2 linked regions of the Cricetulus griseus genome follow. The protein of the gene in region 2 interacts with the protein of the main gene of each other region in a biochemical or structural test. Links are inferred from orthologs where the notes say so. Each region holds a gene or a part of one and is shown on either strand. Other genes may lie near its edges.

What was found. The genes of interacting proteins can lie anywhere in the genome.
Region 1: the proteins of Rnf4 (region 2) and Ube2w form a complex in vitro, tested with the Homo sapiens proteins (2 studies listed by BioGRID). The link is inferred for Cricetulus griseus from reciprocal best matches to the Homo sapiens genes RNF4 and UBE2W.

What each region holds. Positions count from the first base shown.
Region 1 is NC_048595.1:144,389,677-144,393,943, reverse strand, and holds the start of Ube2w (ubiquitin-conjugating enzyme E2 W), read right to left. Parts: upstream 2,807-4,267; 5' UTR 2,786-2,806; coding exon 2,684-2,785; intron 1-2,683. UniProt on the Homo sapiens protein: Accepts ubiquitin from the E1 complex and catalyzes its covalent attachment to other proteins.
Region 2 is NW_023276807.1:103,341,063-103,343,570, reverse strand, and holds part of Rnf4 (E3 ubiquitin-protein ligase RNF4), read right to left. Parts: intron 1,893-2,508; coding exon 1,883-1,892; intron 1,548-1,882; coding exon 1,388-1,547; intron 704-1,387; coding exon 655-703; intron 403-654; coding exon of another isoform or gene 346-402; exon of another isoform or gene 317-345; intron 214-316; coding exon 64-213; 3' UTR 1-63. UniProt on the Homo sapiens protein: E3 ubiquitin-protein ligase which binds polysumoylated chains covalently attached to proteins and mediates 'Lys-6'-, 'Lys-11'-, 'Lys-48'- and 'Lys-63'-linked polyubiquitination of those substrates and their subsequent targeting to the proteasome for degradation.

The DNA.
Region 1 (4,267 bases), on a different chromosome or scaffold from region 2:
CTATACAGCAAAAAAGATAAAAAAACACATAAAAACAATCTGGACAGTGGTGGCACACACCTTTAGTCCCAGCACCTGTGAGGCAGAGGCAGGCAGACAGCTGAGTTAAGAGGACAGCCTGGCCTACAGAGTGAGTTCCAGAACAGCCAAACCAAAAAGATGATTGACTGATAGACAGACAGACAGACAGATAATTATAACCTCAGCTTTAAATTTCATATCCTCTAGTAAGAAACTGAAAGACCGCCCTAACTTGATTTTATTGCATATAAAAATTATTCCATTGCTATCAAGTGATCAAATCCCACATTACATGTGCACAGTATGGCTTGTTTTTAAAATACAGCTCCGACTGCAGCATAAGTAATCTCTTCTTCAGCAATAATAATAACCCCCTGTAGTAAGATATGGAAATCTTATCTAAAAATACTTGCTGAGTTAATGAACACCTTTGATTACTTACATTGTTGTGTTTGTTTTGAAAAGAGCTAATTCCTGCTGTGAAAATGGTCAGGAAATAAACTTTGTACAAAGATACAGAAATAAAAAGAAAACACACCAAAGTGTCCTTCAAAGAGTCTGCTACGGAGCTGGAGAGATAACTCAGTGGTTAAGAGCAAGAACAACTCTTGCAGAGGAGCCTGGTTTGGTTCCCAGCACCACACATCTGGCAACTGGAAAGCACCTGTTACAACTCTAGCTCCAGTCAATCAGAAATGGCCTACACAGACACCTGCATTCACATGCACACACCCACACCATAAAAATAAATCTTCCTCAAATGTTATTTCCCGAAAAAAATTATCAGATAATTTGAAATACATACAAAAGGCCAAGATTTAACCTTAATTGAAACAGAAAGGGTCAGTTCCCCATGCTAATCAGAAGACAAAGGAATGAAAGCCTGGTGCTAGAGTCTAAGGTAGTGATTGAGGCTCAGATCAGGCATAAAAGGCATTTTCCCCACTATTGAAGACACAGAGTGAATACCAAATATCCATCTCTCTTATATACAAACCTGCTTTTTCCAAATACTTGAAGTGTAGTAAAAGTTAACCAGCTCTCCTGCCAACGCCAAATACAATCCCAAGTGTGTGGATTTTAATCTTTATTTTTAGTCTTAAATCATGCCTGTTATCTTAAGACAGCTCATCTTCGAAAGGTCATAATAAACAATGTCTTAATACCGATAAAAATGTTAAAGCAATCATATAGCCCATCTGCTGTCCAACTGGTGCTCCACAGTTCCGTTTTTGGCCTCAGATGACGAAACTTCTCTAACGTCTCTGGGGAGAGTGTAAAGTATAACGTTTCCTGAAATTGTTCTTGTTTTTGCTGCACCATTTCGTGACATCTCTTCAACTAGAAATGTTACTTGCAGTTTTATTGTTCTGCAGGAGAAGCCAGAGGGACACGCAAAGGCAAAAGCAGAGTATTTTAAGGAAAGCAGGTTGAAAGACACAGTGAAAAGGGGGGAAAATGCGCAAGAATGAAAAACATTTCCAGCACAGAGAAGCGCCAACAACGGGATCTTGCTTATTCTTCTAGAAACAAAAGCCAAAAATTCTTCTAAGGAAAATGTGGTTTCTCTCTTTACTCAAGAGGGTGTAAAACTCCAAAAGGCGTTCCGCTGACTCTCTACACAAGAGTTCTACCCGCTCTCCTTATGTGCTTTAACACGCTAACCCTATCTGTACATTAAACGCCAGCTACAGATAATGCAATCTCTACAAACTACAACTGTAGTTGCCATCTTTGCCTGGGGAAAAAAAAAAAAGATTTTTTTTCTTGGATTTGGAAGGGGGAAAAAAGGAGTACATTAAGTTGGAAGGCAAGAAAACCACCATCAAGAGATTGATAGGGCACGGGTTAACAGGCACCTTCTACCAAACTAAGGTTTTAAAGGTCTGGGGAAGAAGGGCAAAGCCTTACCGAGTCCGCAAGGGTGGGGCATCCTAAGGGAAAAAAAATATATTAAGAGCGAGTTTCTCCAGAGGCCGAGGAGCAGGCCCACGAGCTCGCACCCAGGGTGGCACAGGACGCTGGGGACGCGGGCGAAGGGCGGCTTCGAAGGAGACGTGGGCTGCCGGGGAATGCCCCAGAGTGCGGGCTGACAGAAGGAGGCACCCACGGGGCACGGGATGAAGATCGAAGAAGAGCTAGCAAGGGCCGTGCGTTCCGAGGCTGCGCGTGGGAGGCCGGGCAAAGGCCGCGGAGGGCCGTGGGCAAGCGGCCGTCCTCGGCGAGGCGCTCCCCGGCTGCCCCGCGTTCTGCCAGTCTCGGGCCGCTCGGACCGCGGGCGACGGCGGCGGGCACAGCTGTTTCCACCCCGCCGGGGAGCGCAGGGGGAGGGGAGAGAGGAAAGCATCTCCCCCGTGGCCTGGGAGCCAAGCAGCGGCCGTCCTCGAGCGGGGGCGCGGAGCGGAGCCCCCACCGCGGAGCGCACGCCGAACTTCGCCCTTTCTTCCCCTCAGCCGCCTTTATGCCACAACTTCGCGGCCGCGACTGTCCGCGGCCACCGGCCGACACCCCCGCTCCGCTCGCCGACCGGTGATCCCCGACGCTCTGGGGTCAGGGAAGGCCACCGGGAGCCTGGGCCGCGGCCCCGGACGCCGCCCCCGCGCCGACGCTCGCCCCGTCTCGGCGGCCCCCACGCCCGCCCCGCTGCAGCAGCTCCGCTCACCTGCATTGACGCCATGATGAAACCATCCCCCCAAGGCCAGCGAGGCCAGAGACGCAGGGGGCGGAGCCGCCGTGCTCGCGTCACGCCGCGGGGGCCCAACATCCCGGGCACGGGGTGGAGTCGCCGATGGGAAGGGGCCGGCACGTCCGATTGGCTGTGGCGCGGGCGCCCGGGGGCGTGACGGGGCGGGGCGTGGTGGGGCGGGGCGGGGCGCCTTGGGTACCTCTCATCCCAGCCAGTTTACACGCTGGCCCACCCTCGCTACTGGGTGAGGCGCAGCTCAGGTTCGAACCGCAGCAGTACTCCCTAGATCATGAAGCTGTCTGGATGCGCGAATTTTTTGGTTGTTTTTATTTTCTTTTGGTCTCATTCTGTTTTCCTAGCTACAGGTGTAAGATTTGTAGTTTTTTAAATTTATTTTTTAATCCCCCTTTGTATGCCTTTTCTACACCTACAGCTCTTCTTCTGAGCCAGATAAAACTTCGCGGGGGGGGGGGAGGTGCTCTCTAGTCTTTGCAGATCCAGGAGGCTATTTCTAATTTGGGGGTTGGGGGGAGGAACAGAGAGTCACAAATTTCCTTATAGAACAGAATGAAAACTGAGAGCAGGGCAACGCTGTCATCTTAAAGGCAAGAGCAACTAGATTTTTTGTGCTGAAATGTAGTGGGAAGGGAAGGAGAAAGAATAATGTTTTCTTTTGTGTGAGATTTTCTAGCTTCCTTACCCAACCATCTAAATTGCAAACTCCATGTGTATCATAGTAGTCGTTGTTACATCAGTCTATTTGATTAGCGATTTGACTCTAGCCACAAATTCTCATATATTAGCTCACGTTGTGCCATGTCTACATTTCTCTTCAGCCAATTCTGTGGTGGGCAGTTTTGTGATCAGCCAACCTATGAATGAGTTTGGGCAGGAAACACTGAGCATACAGAATTTATTCTAGGCATGCACCAGTTCTGCCAACATTTATCAGAAGTCACATTTTTAAAGCTCTTCCAGAACCAAAGATGTCTTTTGGTTTATAAAAGAAAAAATGGAAGGCTAAAGCTTGCACCTCCTGTCCTATCTCTAAAAGAGTCAAGGAGGCTGGCATGTCGAGTAGATAGATGGCTTTTGCTTTACCCGAAAGTTTAAATCTTTCTTTTTATTGACTTGCCTTCTTTTTTAGACATTTCTCTACGATAGATATAAATATAATGGCAATGTAGAATATCACTCTTCACACTTAAGATAGATCACGATGTTCTCTGGGAACATCCGCAAGGAAATGTGTTCACAAAAGGAAAAAGATCTTTAAAATATGCAGTTATTCTATGGCATAATGTTAACACAGTTTATCTTTACCAAAGAGAAACCTTTTTTGGTATTCTTCCCTCTCTAAGATGTCACCCTATTACCAGAAATGGTTTTTTCCCCTTCCTATGTAAAATGTGATCTTGAGGGAGTTTGCATGACTTGGAAATACAGAATCAGTCAAGCACATTGTGCTGTCACCATTACAACATAGAATAAAGCCCACATAGCCCAGTGAAAGAGGTAAGTTTATAGCAAAGCTTGTCAACTATTCCTTCCAGAGATCTT
Region 2 (2,508 bases):
ACCATGCAGAAAGGCCAGCCTGGCTGTCTGTCCATTGGTCTATCCTGAGCAGTTCTGAACATTTCATATATAAATGGGGTGGTACCGTTTATGGTTGATCTTCTTCCTACAAGTTGGGCAAGTATTAGCATTCTTAAGAGAATCACGGAGGCACTGGCTACAGAAGACGTGGCCACATTCTGTAGAAACAATGAGGCGCCCATTCTGCACAATCTAGAAGACATTAAAAGGAACAGCCTTAAAGTATTCCTTGTCACCAAGGACCCTAACCCAGCCATCACTGAGACCAGTGTATACAAAGGATCAAGGTTATTACCAGAAAAAGCAGGAGCCTACACAACAATCTCAGAAGCAAATGCTGCCTCTATGGAACAGAATGTAGACAGGACAGGATTTTCCCAGCTGCAGTAATAAAAATGGATTATGGGCAAGCTCAGCAAAAATCAACAGCTTCTAGTTAAGGCTACGGTGGGAAACATGAATTTGCAGAGGCTAAAGATAAAATGTAGAGGGCCCATGACCAACTGGCATAATCTCCTTTTTAATTGGCCTTTGTGATAGATAGGTGTCAAATCCCGTATGAGGCACAGATCCTCTAACTTCATTTTAGTGAAGTAGGTTAAAACCAAAAGGAGACACAAGTAGGTTACTTACCTCAGAGTATCCATCCATGCAGATCGGACAACTGACAGTACCCGAGGGCCTAAAATCACAGTGCTCCACATCAGTTTCTAAGTAAACCCAAATACTTGATAACACCCTCTTAAAGTAGCTTCATATATGCAGTTCAATCTTCTACCAAATCTCTCCCTGCCTCACTTCTGCTGAGTTAGAACAGGCGCACAAAAAACTTGGAGACAGCTCAGCGGTTAAGAGCACTGACTACTCTTCCCAAGGGCCTGGGGTTCAATTCCCAGCACCCACATAGCAGCTCGCAACTGTAACTCCAAGATCTGACACCTTCACCCAGACATACATGCAGGCAAAACACCAATGCACATAAAAAAAAAAAAAAAAAAAAAAAAATTAAAAGAAAAAAAGCAACCTGAAGATAAATAAATGAACTACTTGAAGCGTTGGGCTGGAATGGCCATGAAAGAGGGATTCGAGAGAACAGGTCTATAAGAAAAGACTCACCCACCTCCTCCACCTCCAGCATTCCTGCTAGTGGCACCTAGAACAACCCACTTATACCCTGAACACTGTGGGTATGTCTGTCTCCTGATACAGCTGTCTGTCCATTGGTCTATCCTGGTCAGACATCTGATCCCAGCCCTGCATTCCAAGCATGCTTGGCAGATACTTGTTCTAGAGTAACAGCTTATATACAGTACAGCATTTGTTTGCTCCCGTCTCCACCCAACATAACAGAAGGAGAGCAGATTACCTGAGTCCTGTAGCTCCTTCATCCTTGGTGCCTCGAGAAGTATGAGTAGTCACATACACATCTTTATCTCTAGACAGTTCCTCATCATCACTGCTCACCACACAGCTGTCAGCATGGTCTGGGCGTAACCTCCTCCCATTTCTTCTTGGCCTTCTCCTTTCTAAGGAAAAGGTCACATTTTCAGCCATCTTTACCATCCTACCCTAGTGTCTCTGAAGACCCTCCCCTCTCCTTGAGGCCCCCAGAGAGAAACTATCACCATACTAGTTCTGCCCCCAGAAGGTCCTGCCCATAAGCAGAGGCCACTCAATTGCCTTCTCAGGAGAAAGCTCAGCCCCTGACATCCTGGGCAGAGATTTTCAGTAAAACCAGGTCTGACCAAAGGCATCTTTCTGTCTAGAGATCTTGAAAGGACAGTCTGATAAAGCGTGCGATGCTGTGGTATTCGCAACAATTTTCTTTAAACCCAAGGGAAAAGGAAATTAAAATACTCACCTTCAACAATCTGAAGGGGGGGAAAAAGAGAGAGTGTTATAAACATTCTGACATTTTAACTGATAAAACACACACATCTTGCTTCCAATATATCTGTATATATTGGAGAATCCAGTCTTCCCTTATCCCCAAGGAAAGGAAATGTGTACTTCTCCAGGCCAGCTATGGTCATCTCCAGGTCAATGTCTCCTAGGAGCCAATATGCTGAATCTCACCCAGCCCATTTCGGGGCCTAAATAGAACCACATCAGGACCTGTGCAAGACCAGAGGTTGGGTTGTCTGGAGGAATCTATATTCTGTTCACAAAAACAAGAGGCCTAATCTACCTCCCTGGGCTGAGTCAGAAAACAATCAGCAAAGCTCATTGCACCTACAGCCAGCATGGCAAGTGCCAATGACAGAGCCACTGGAGAAGGATTTAAGCTACTTAATATTATAAAAAGATCAATTGGGAATTATCTTGAGTCATCCTTTTTAACAAGAACTGGACCAACACATGTTTGGTGGCTCGGGACATTCATTAATATAGTTGAAGATGATCCTGGTTTCTGATCTACTTGCTTTCACCTTCAAAGTGCTGGATTAGAGGAGTGTACTACCACATCCACCAGTTTGTACCCTGACA